Linked DNA regions of Xenopus tropicalis. The protein of the gene in region 2 purifies or fractionates together with the protein of the main gene of each other region. This does not show direct contact. Links are inferred from orthologs where the notes say so. Each region holds a gene or a part of one and is shown on either strand. Other genes may lie near its edges.

The links.
Region 1: the proteins of mink1 (region 2) and strip1 purify together in Homo sapiens (affinity purification with mass spectrometry; 3 studies listed by BioGRID and IntAct, with this or other methods). This does not show direct contact. The link is inferred for Xenopus tropicalis from reciprocal best matches to the Homo sapiens genes MINK1 and STRIP1.
Region 3: the proteins of mink1 (region 2) and nck2 purify together in Homo sapiens (affinity purification with mass spectrometry; 3 studies listed by BioGRID and IntAct, counting the BioPlex papers as one, with this or other methods). This does not show direct contact. The link is inferred for Xenopus tropicalis from reciprocal best matches to the Homo sapiens genes MINK1 and NCK2.

What each region holds. Positions count from the first base shown.
Region 1 is NC_030678.2:72,084,791-72,089,058, forward strand, and holds the start of strip1 (striatin-interacting protein 1), read left to right. Parts: upstream 1-1,468; 5' UTR 1,469-1,475; coding exon 1,476-1,601; intron 1,602-4,225; coding exon 4,226-4,268. UniProt on the Homo sapiens protein: Plays a role in the regulation of cell morphology and cytoskeletal organization. Required in the cortical actin filament dynamics and cell shape. Part of the striatin-interacting phosphatase and kinase (STRIPAK) complexes.
Region 2 is NC_030679.2:147,595,649-147,599,148, forward strand, and holds part of mink1 (misshapen-like kinase 1), read right to left. Parts: intron 3,416-3,500; coding exon 3,359-3,415; intron 2,287-3,358; coding exon 2,161-2,286; intron 2,070-2,160; coding exon 1,959-2,069; intron 1,082-1,958; coding exon 991-1,081; intron 692-990; coding exon 561-691; intron 442-560; coding exon 387-441; intron 1-386. UniProt on the Homo sapiens protein: Serine/threonine kinase which acts as a negative regulator of Ras-related Rap2-mediated signal transduction to control neuronal structure and AMPA receptor trafficking.
Region 3 is NC_030678.2:110,108,230-110,112,499, forward strand, and holds the start of nck2 (cytoplasmic protein NCK2), read right to left. Parts: upstream 2,801-4,270; 5' UTR 2,758-2,800; intron 1-2,757. UniProt on the Homo sapiens protein: Adapter protein which associates with tyrosine-phosphorylated growth factor receptors or their cellular substrates. Maintains low levels of EIF2S1 phosphorylation by promoting its dephosphorylation by PP1.

The DNA of each region.
Region 1 (4,268 bases), on a different chromosome or scaffold from region 2:
CACACCTACCAATCTATACACTCACATACATAAACTATAAATAATCTCTAATCTAAAGGGGTGACCTCTGGTGCATTGATTGTTTTTATGGGAAAAAAGAACATCCCCCATCTGCCTATAATCCCCTCTAATGTACTTGTAAATCAATGTTTTAGGGGGCCCTGGCCAGCAATGCTAACAATGTATGTGTGTCCTTTGTACTGATGGGAGGGGTCACTGGGGGCGGGCACATGAGAAGAGGGGGGCCCAGAAAATTTTGTTGTGGGGGGCTTCATGATTTCTCAAGCGGCCCTAAGTGTGTATATATATATATATATATATATATAATCTGTTCTTTGTGTTTGCTCAGTTTCCCTTGTGTAATATTACATTTAAACTCGGAAACAACTCGCTTTGCAAATATGCAGTACCAGGTAAAACAATGGAGCAGCAAATACTTTTTCTCATCACTGTAATTACAAACTAGGGTGTATGTTCTATGGCCCCATCCTACTAAATTAGCAGGGATCTCCACCTTCACCAGGGGGTCCCAATTAATAGTCTGATGGACACCTAGGCCCCCTGAATGGTAAGCCCTGTCTCAAGTAAAATAGGGCCTCAACGAAACAAAAATTGCCCCTCCTATACAGTGTGTTCTAACCTGTCTCTAAGCTTAATTTAAGACAAAACTCCAACAAAACCTTGCCCACTCATCCACAAGCCCCATCCCTTTTAAGAACCTGGAATCATGCCTTTTCATCTCAGGACACCTGACTGCTGATGTACGTGTACTCCAATAATGATTGCCCATTATCAGGGGCCATTTAGATAACTTAAAAATGTAAATTGTGCATTTCACTTATCTATGGATAGCTAATGTGTGTTGCCTCATTTTACAATTTTACTTTTTAGAAACATCAGGTGCACAATTTGCAGCGCTCATACCCTAGATCTGGACACTTCCTTTTGCTCAATTGTATAAGCACTCTGACAACGTTACAAGAGTTTCTTCTACTGAAATTTTCTGACTGTAGTTTGGTTGATAGAACTGACCAGCAGATGGTGCTATTATTTCAATTTAGACGCATTAGCTGTGTAAAAACGTTTACCAGCTTAAAATCTATGAATACCTAATAAAAGTGGCAAGAAGCCCAATTTTACATGAATGTATTTAGAGTTAACGTTTCCTTTAAGGGTAGCCGGCTTTCAAACATCGCTGTAACTGCAGAGAATACATGGTTAGATATATAGATAAATGCAGGTCTCAGCAATAAAATACATGTTATGTAGACAGGAATATACAAAACACTGATTATCACACTGGTGCCGATACATCAGTCTCTATAAGCCGCCCAGTTTGTCAAAGAAAGGGCGAGACTCTTCATACTATCGCGATGTTTGGAAAGCAGAAACAGACACGCCTTGGGCTTTGCGTTCCACCGCAAATGTTCTACTGAGACGGCGGTGTCACGTCACGTGGGCGTCGCCTGAGAAAGATGGAGGCTTCCGGTTCTCTGATTGTCAACAACAAAATGAGAACAGGAATCGGTGGTGCGGTAATTGGCAGCCCCCAACCGGGCAAGGGACGAGAGTACAACCGTACACAGCGCAAGGATTCAGAGGTATGAGTAAAAGTGGTTGTTATGTATAACTATATTGCATTAACATTTGTGTTTGATTAGTACTCAGTTATCCTCGAATTACCCTTGTAATGTAACTGTGTGCCAGCTTTTATGCTTACTTAGTGACCGGGGTATGTCTGGGGAACCTGTGACAGGAAGACAAGACAGTTCTTACCTGATTAAAAAGCCCATTCCAAAAGGAATCTCACATCAGTTTTGCGAACTATTCTAAACTGCTGACTTGTCTTAGTTTTACTGTTCACCAAAAATATATATTATAGTTCTTCGTGGTTGCTGTCATGTTAATATAACCTATAGTTATCAAAAATATTTAATTAAATCTCCGTCATCCTGAAAGTTGAGCATTTCATTTAGAATCACACATTATATTCCTGTTCTGCAGGAAGATGCTGTGACAGAAAGGCACATGTACCTCTGCAAATGTAGTGAGAAAAGTGCAGTTTTGAGCGTAATTGCTGCAGGTTTTTGAAAAAATGTTGCTTTTTCCCCCAGAATTTGAGTCATTGTGGTTCTCAGTGGAGTGATACGCCTGGCACAATTGCTCTGTCTATTGCAGTTGTATCTGATTTGCAACTGTGTACCCAAAATTGGATGCAATTGCGCCAAAATCCAGCTGGCGTCAGTTCTACTGTTTGGTCTGTACCTGATTCTTTAGGTGCAGCAAGTGTGTGGCAGCTCCAGGCTTCCCCTGGTGCAGCAGCTCTCAATTTGGAACGGAAGGTAGGAAGGAGAACATAAAAGTGGTGCTAGGTGCAGCTGGTTGGGGGGAAACTGGGGACCACTATTGCACTCGTGGACGTAAATGAGCCCTAAAGTGTTCCTGGAAATATCATGCCCATGTATTATTCAAAAAGTTGAATTTAATGCAAAGCTAAGATTTCACCACTTGCACCTTTCTCAGGGTGGAACAAACAAATGGTATTTGGGAGCAGCTGTGCATATTGTAAAAGTAACTGAGGAGAGAATTCTTTGGGCTGTAAACATGATTCAGACTTAAGAAAATAGTATAAAAATGTACCACTCTGTCACATGGTTTCACAGAAAATGCCTGAAAGTTAGTCTGAGGGTAGAGGGCCCTGGGTACTCATGAAAATATTTCAATGAGCAAAAGATCTCCTAGCATGGCCTTGCTTTTACTAGTGAGATTTTTTTTTTTTTATTGGTCTGTGTTTACTGCTTCATCACCTGGGGTTTACAATTGCTCTCGTAATGTGTTATGCTATAATGTGACCCTATTCCACGGTTACTCTAAAGAACCAGGTTGCAAAATGAAATCACTTTCAGTTTCATTGTTTTCCCTGTTAAGTAAAAGAGCTACTGAAAATATTACCTAAGCAAATTAGCCTTTGAGGAAAAAAGGTGTAACACGTACAGTGTCTGAACATCTATGAATAAAGTTAGGTCTCAAAACTGATTACATTTAAATCTCCCAGACTACTAAGAAATATGGTTTTGTTTGCATCAGTCTTATGAGAAAGAATTGATATCTTTCGAAGTTATAATTTTTTTTTTCTTTCCAAGAGTGCAGTCATATTCTGTGACTAGTTGCAAGTGCATTGAAAGCTGTCCACACATAATTCAGCGTGGAAATGCAATAATAGGTATTTGTATTTGCTCTCTGTGAGTGAACAGGTATATCCCTTGCCTAGAAGTGCACACAGAGGGGGCAGAAGGCAGCAGATCAGCTTTTCTCTGCTGGTGTATCTACAGCAATGGGGAAAAAAAACATTCCATGTGCCATTAGGGCGAATGGTCGCAGCGACTTTCCCTTCAAAGGATCCTGTATATGTTGCTGCGACTAATAGCACACAGGTTTTCGCTGCGTAGAGAAATCGCAGCGACTTTTTAAAGACTTATGCCGACTAATCGCCTTGTGTGTCTTCACCCTTAGGGCTCTGGCACACGGGGAGATTAGTCGCCCGCAACAAATCTCCCTGAAAATGTAAATCGCCGGTGGGATGGCATAAGCGGCGGCGCGCTTTCACTGAAATCGCGGAAGTTGCCTTGAGAGGAAACTCACATTTTTTTTACATTTTTGCCGGTGGGATGGCATTTCTGGGAGATTAGTCGCCCGCGAACAGGGAGATTTGTCGCGGGTGACTAATCTCCCCGTGTGCCAGAGCCGTTAGCCTTCCAATGTTTTTGGATAAAAGGTTTTTTTTTATGACTTTCTGGGCTTTTGTGTCCAAAGAATGATCAGATAAGACATCCTCTTACCACAGATATTAGTTATTTGATTTAAAGGGAAGGTCTGAAAATTGTTGTTAGTTTGACTGTTTGGGTATAATCTAACAATCTGATAATGATAGAACAATTTGACTGGTCCATCTCCCAGTCTCTCCTGTGAACTATCATATTTCCAAGACCGCAGTCTTCATGTTGATGATTTATTGTTCTACAGTATACATCAAAGATGACCATTTGTTGGTGATACTATTTACATGCCTTTTGTAATTATTTTTATGTGTGCAGACAGAAAACATAAATATGCCATAAAGTGTTTTAGCTGTTTGTTGCCAACTTGAATGATAAAATAAATTTAAAATTGTTGCACTGGGTTTCTTTTTTTGTTTATTTTTTTATGGCACTTCTGTTCATTTTAGGGCTATTCGGAGTCTCCGGACCTAGAGTTTATATATGCTGATT
Region 2 (3,500 bases):
TGCAAGAAATGTAAGAAAACAGAGAATATAAAGAGTCCTTGAATCTGTCAATGCAAAAATAGCATTGCTACATTCCAAGCTGGAGAGGAGAGAGCACAGTCAGATGGAAAAACAAGATATAAAGCTGAAAAATAGGTGTTTAAAGGGAAAGTAAAGCCTTAGCTAGGTTTGGGCACAAGTCCGTTTCATTACTGGTTGGGTTGGAGGGATGAACACATTACAGTCTGTCTCTGGCCCCTGGGCCAGTCCCACCCCTGCCTTAAGCTCACAGTGTCTTAACTCCTCCCTCACTCTGAGACAGACAGCACAAGCTGCCAATTAGATCTGTAAGTGACAGACGAATCAGGGCCCTGGTCAGTGATAGGGGCGTACGAGAAGAAACTTACGTGGGGCTCCCTCGGCCATTTCTATAGCTGTGATTCCCAGCGACCAGATGTCACTCTGCGGAGAAAAGGACACAAAATGGTAGGCAATGGTAGGCAATTGTGCAAAATTGTGTATAATGAATTCATTGGCAATACAAACGTCAGGAACCAATGGGGAGGAAGTTGACATCTTACCCTGTAATCATAGGTGGCATCTGGATTCTCATCGCAGGCAATCACCTCAGGGGCCATCCAGTATGGGGTCCCTATGAAAGTATTTCTTCTCCCCACTGTGCGGTCGAGCTGGGCGCTCACACCAAAGTCCACTGAGGGGCACCGTGATGGGAAGAAACAATGGAATGTTACAGAGCAGTCATTCTGTTCAGGGCAGAATGTGAATCAGGGAGAGGATCTAATGAAGGTACAAAGTGACCTAATGGCTTCACAGGGCCCTACTCCTATCCGATCACAAGCCCTTGGGCCTAGCAACTGGGTCAGACAAATGCGGCTGAGCAAACTGGGCACTCAAACAAGTGGCCCCTGCTGGGTTGGGCTAGCCAATGAGCAGGACGTGTAGCCCCATACAGGCTGGGGGAAGCCATATGGCAGCGAAGCTATGACTTACCGAGTTTCACCTCTGCATTCTCTGTGAGAAGGACATTCTGCCCCTTGATGTCTCTGTGTATCACTTTGTGAGCATGTAGGTGGGACAGCCCCTGCGCAAAACAAACAAACAAAAAGTTATACTGCTCTCTAATATCTATTACATCATGAAAGGATTGCTTTATGGCACCAACTGCTTGGACTTATACATATGGGTAAGGAGGTCCCATAGTGTTTCCCTTAGACAGTACAGTATGGGGGTACAGCTTATTGTGTGCCCAGAACATTCCTTCTCTGTATATTTGTATTTATACAAATGGGTAGGAAGTGCCATAGTGTTTCCCTTAGACAGTACAGTATGGGGGTACAGCTTATTGTGTGCCCAGAACATTCCTTCTCTGTATATTTGTATTTATACATATGGGTAGGGGGTGCCATAGTGTTTCCCTTAGACAGTACAGTATGGGGGTACAGCTTATTGTGTGGCCAGAACATTCCTTCTCTGTATATTTGTATTTATACAAATGGGTAGGAAGTGCCATAGTGTTTCCCTTAGACAGTACAGTATGGGGGTACAGCTTATTGTGTGCCCAGAACATTCCTTCTCTGTATATTTGTATTTATACATATGGGTAGGGGGTGCCATAGTGTTTCCCTTAAACAGTACAGTATGGGGGTACAGCTTATTGTGTGCCCAGAACATTCCTTCTCTGTATATTTGTATTTATACATATGGGTAGGAGGTGCCATAGTGTTTCCCTTAGACAGTACAGTATGGGGGTACAGCTTATTGTGTGCCCAGAACATTCCCTCTCTGTATATTTGTATTTATACATTTGGGTAGGAGGTGCCATAGTGTTTCCCTTAGACAGTACAGTATGGGGGTACAGCTTATTGTGTGCCCAGAACATTCCTTCTCTGTATATTTGTATTTATACATATGGGTAGGAGGTGCCATAGTGTTTCCCTTACACAGTGGGGCTCACTTACCCGCAGAATCTCCCTGCAGATGTAGGCGATGCAGTCTTCCTTCAGGGCATTTCCTTTGGTGTTTTTCACTAGATCTGTTACTGAGCCGGCTCCGCAGAACTCCATGACCAGCTACGAGGGGGGGGGATACAACATACATAAACCTCCTGCCTGCATGCAGCCAAATCCTACAGGCTGGTGCGCAGAGCTTGCAATCACTCACCCACAGCTGGTCGTCATTGCCCGGCGGGCTCTTCTTGATGAAAGCTCCGTAGTAGGTTGCAATGTTTCGATGATGAGAGTACTTCTTCAGCATATTAATCTCCTGTTTAATCTCCTCTTCCTCGTCCTGCCGGGGAGATGGGTGCATTAGGGCCGAGTGTCGGCACAGAGCTTACTATTCATTAGCCCTGCATCGGCGGCAGCTCCCCGGCGCTCTGTACCTCAGTACCAGCACAGCCGCTCCATTAGGCTCATACAGAGCACTAGGGACATAATTACCCAGACTCCCTGGCTGGCACGGCCCTGAGCTTGTGACTGGGTGAAACGCTAACGAGCACATCAGTGCCAATCAGCTCGAGGCTGGGTAAGGGCACGCTCAGTGACAGTCATTTCGGGGGAGACACATATGAATATCGTTATGTAATATACAGAGATATATAGATATATATACTAATACACACAGACTCTGCCCAAGCATTATACCTGCAAACTAATGCTGCTGCTGCTAAAGGGCACCAAGTTTTTTGGAGAAAAACACTTAGTCAAAAAACACTTAGTCACTCCAAGTCCCTGTATGAACTCCTGGCCCCCCTACTTCCTCCCTACATTACATTACATTAACATTTATTTATAAAGCGCCAACATATTCCGCAGCGCTGTACAATATGTGGGTTTCATACATTGGACATACAGAGTAACATATAAAGCAATCAGTTACCGATACAAGAGGTGAAGAGGGCCCTACCCAAAAGAGCTTACAATCTACAAAACCTAGCAACCAAACTGCACTCCTGTGTTGCTTTATGGCAAAAACCATGAATGCCCGGAATGTTTAGAACCTCTAACCCAGGGGTCCCCAAACTTCTAACCCAAGGGGCCAGATCAAGGGTCCCTCAGACAGTTTGGGGAGCCGGACCGCCATCACCAGCAACCCCCCCCCCCCTTCCCGCCGCCAGGGGGGAGGGTGCTGATGAATAAGCCCACATCCTTTTTCATATCCCGCCCGGCATGTCCTACCTGTACCAGTTGCCCCGGTCCGTCCATCATCTCAGCTCCCCTGTGCCGCTCCCCGCTGAGTCCTCTCTCTCCACTGCCAGGTGGGAGGACGCAGCGGGGGCCGGGTAAATTCCTCTGGGGGGCCAGATCCGGCCCGCGGGCCATAGTTTGGGGGCCGCTGGTCAAACCCAAGGGATTCTTACCTCTGTGACATCCATGACCTTGATAGCGGCCAGCTGCCCAGTCTTGACATGGCGGCCCTGAAGAAAGACAACAGACATTACTTGGGTACAGTTCCCCGGCCTGACTAAGGTCCCTCTTTTGGACAGACCCAAAAAGCTGTTC
Region 3 (4,270 bases), on a different chromosome or scaffold from region 2:
AGTCCTATAATGTTTAATACCTGTAGTGTATTTTTTTTTTTTTTTTATGTGTAGAGATCCATGCCCCTTAAAGCTACTGTACCATAATAATATATCGGCCATCTGCTATGCCAATTGAGTTCAAAATCTATAGAACAACTGCATAAAAAGTGATCTTAAAATAAACACATGTTGTTCTACAGCATCATACTCACAAGACTGTGCGTAAGCACCTGCATTGCACTGTATTTTTAATGCTCCTTGCTCTGTTTTCAATCAGCTGTAAACCAAAGTTTGCAATGCAGTCTGTGAAAGCACATTTATAGCCTATGTATATTTCAACATCTGCTGCCACCCACTGAATCTAAACACACCACAAATGGCCAGTGAACATGGAGAGACTGTGGAACACAGAATACTGAAAAAGAATCTCTGTATCAGGAGACTAAAAACAGAAAAAAAGCTTACCTGCTACCTGAAACACATTCCTTTTCTCCATCTGCAGTTACATTTTACAATGTATGCATGGCAATATCCTAGTTGTTGTATAAAGTGATCACTTATACATACTACTGTCACACATACATAACTACAAGCATGGACAAAATATTGTGCATTTATAATCATATTGAAAAAAACAAACAAACATACACCCTATGTGTTTAATGCAATGCACATTAATATTTCAGATGCATGTGGATACACATCCTGCAACAGTAGTTGCCAAACTGTGGGTATGGCCTCACAGGGAAGTACTAGAAGTACTAGAAGGGAGGGCCAAGCCTTAAAGTCAATTTTGGATAAGGAAACCCTGATTCACTGAATGGTGCCAATATGTTAGGAATGCTATATACTGGCTGCAGTATCAGGTATTTCTACCTCAGCAGAGTACAAATGGAAATTTTTACCCTACTGCATATACATCTCAGTCTAAATCTAAAGCAGGACACCTGGGTAATGTAACTAAGATGGCAGGGGTGGCATTTATTTTATATGCAGGCTAACAATTCACCTTGCATGGCCATACCCTTAAGAGTAAATGCTTATCAACTATATTGGGCATGCCTAGAATTTCAGTAAGTGCATGTGTACTTATATTTGTAAACTTATTAGGAGCCAAGGAGGGGGCTGTACCCAGAGGTGATCAGTTGGATTGAGATCAATCTTTTTCGCTTGCATCTCAGCAAACCAATTTGTGCAAGATGGGTATTAATATACTAGACATAAAATGACCTTGCCTAAACTGTTGCCACAAAGTATAAAGAAAGAAATGATCAAGAATGCCATTGTTCACTGAAGCTTTAAGCTTTGCTTTTAATAAGACCAAGAACCCTATCCCAGACCATTAAAAAGTGGACCCAGACACCTATTCATTTCCAGCTTTATTGTCACCCTTACACATTCAAGCAGGTAGTAGTCCTACTTGCATCTACCTTACCCAGACTAGACTAAGTCAGACGGGCAAATGCGAGGAATGATTCATGCCTTGAGAGAGGCATCTTCCACCTCCTTGGAGTCCAGTGACATAGATCTTTACACCACTCCTGCCAACACATGGCATCACACATAGGGGTATATTTATCTTGCTGTGTAAAAAGTAGTGATATTGCCCAAGGCAACCAATCAGCAAGCAGATTTCAACAGTTAGAAAACCAAAGCACCTGATTGGCTGCTATGAGCAACATCACCGGTAATGTTTCACTCCACATACTCGTACACAGCAATATAAATAAATCCCATAGTGTTGTGTGCTGCTGCTCAACAGAATAAACACTTCTGATGAATAGTTCTAGTGCTGACATTGCATCCAGAGACAGCTTGGAATCCAGCAGCAAATGTGTTAATACTGAGAATATGTGATAATAGAAGGGTATTCACCCCACCAATAAAACCTAAAATGCCCAAATTCAGCAGCCCTCAGTTATGTCCAACCTTCTTTAGCCTTTGAACTCTAATTCCCAGCAGCCCATGCCAGCCCACATACACCTAGCTGCCACATGCTGGAGGTGGTGCATGATAGGAAACAACTGTGGGGCTGCAGGTTGGCCCTGCTTTGCACTTATCACAACCACTCAGCTTTAATATCAATGTGCGCTAAATCTGCGCCCCATCCCCGCCTTCAACTCATTTATTGTGCGAGGATCGAATTCATTTACAACTGCACTGAAAAAAAGAGTCCCTATTGCAAGAACTTACACGCCAGAAAGTAAAGGCAATAGCACAAAGGCTTCCCCCACGCACTAATGTATTCACACAGACAATATGCAGCGCTACAGACCCGCACACTGAATACAATCATTCGCATGTAACAGCAGCTCAGTGCGCGAAGCAGCTGCCTGGGGACCCTCAAAGGAAGGGCCAGCATCGGTGGCGAATGGGTGGGTGACTTCTGGGTCCTAAAGGGAACCGGCAGCGCTGCAGGATTACCGAGCCCGTTCATGTCAATGAGCTGCACACTTGTGAAGGGAGGGCGGGAGCGGGGTGCCAGCATGTTCTTTCTCCTACACAGCTTGTATTCTGCTTGTTCTGTCACAGAAGTTTTAGTCCCGGGAACTGAATAGGGTAGGAGGGAGTTTGAACTTCACCCCCAGCTTAACCAATCCAGCTCTACCGGGACTAAAGCTTCTGTCACAAAACCACTGGTACAGAAACCTATGTATGGGAAAGAACATGCTGGTACCCCAGCTCCCGCCCTGCCTCCCCAAGTCTGGAAGTAAGTGCATACTGCAACAGTCCCGCTGTTCCTCACACAGCCCTTAGTCCCGTATCGCTACTTACATCTCCCGAAGAGCTTGTTACTGCAGGCTCCGGTCCTACACACACTCCCAGCGCCACATCTCTCCTCACGCGAGACTGGCATCGCCGCTACACGTAACGCACTGACACATTGGCGCGCCGCCTTGTGGGAGTGACGAGCCGGCCTGGCTCAGTGTTACACGGTGGGAAGCTGCTAGGCAGCCGCGGTTGGTCAGCTCCCAATCTCTTTTTCCAATGCTCGCACCTCCTACTTTTGATAGAGAACAAAAGAAAAAAGACTTTTCTTTGGTGTTGGGTGACCGCCATGCTCGCTGCCGCCTCTGCCCCCGATGTTTCCTCAGAAGTCATTCATATTTTCTAGTCGGAGTTCTGAATTGTGACAGGGAACGAAAGAAAGACTTTGTCCTTGTTGCCAACAGTACCTGCTGCCATCAGAGCCTTGTCTCGAAAAGCCACTGATACACACTTTCATATTTTAGCTACCTGAAATTAATGTAGATATTAAGATGTTCATCAAAAAAAGAAAAAGAAGCAGTGCACAAGCTGTTGACATCACAATATTTATAAAGTTTGTGTATACACCTAGGGGCTGATTTACTAAGACACGATTTCGAATCCGAATTGGAAAAATTCCGATTGGAAACGAACATTTTGCGACTTTTTTGGTAATTTTGTGTTTTTTTCGTATTTTTTGCGATTTTTTCGTATTTTTTGCGATTTTTTCGGCGTCTTTACGATTTTTGCGGAAAAACGCGAGTTTTTCGTAGCCATTACGAAAGTTGCGCAAAGTCGCGATTTTTTCGTAGCGTTAACACTTGCGCGCAAAGTCGCACCTTTTTCGTAGCGTTAAAACTTAAAAGGCGCGACGTTTCGCGCAAGTTTTAACGCTACGAAAAAAATCGCGACTTTGCGCAACTTTCGTAATGGCTACGAAAAACTAGCGTTTTTACGCAAAAATCGTAAAGACGCCGAAAAAATCGCAAAGAAAACGCAAAATTACCGATTATTACGAAAAAAACGCAATCGGACGCATTCGGCCCGTTCGTGGGTTAGTAAATGTGCCCCCTAATCTATGCTAGTATTTTCATTAGATGAACAATTCTCCATATTATAATTATTTTCACAAATGGTACTTATTAGAAATCTTTTATAAATGTATAGTCGCTTTTGGGGTGCCAAGCTACATAATAGTCATTATAGTTATTGTGGACTAAAGCTGTCCAACCATAAAACATATTTTATTATACAGGGGCACTGCGGCCATAAGGCGAATTGAGAAACTCGTCTCAGGCAGCAGCAGCCCTCAAGTTTACCAGGGGCAGCAAAACGACGTTTAAAGAACTTAAAAGTAGAAGGAAAGTCATTTTGGCATTTTACTGCCAATAGAGTCGCCAAATTATTCTGCAGAAAGCTTTACCTACCTGAGTAAAAAGCCTTTTGTTTAAGATAGCAGCTGCCATTTTAGCTTGGTCTCCGTAGCTTCCTGCTGCAGCTCTAGCCGTTGGTAGCTCAGATCACGCATTCTGATGGGAGG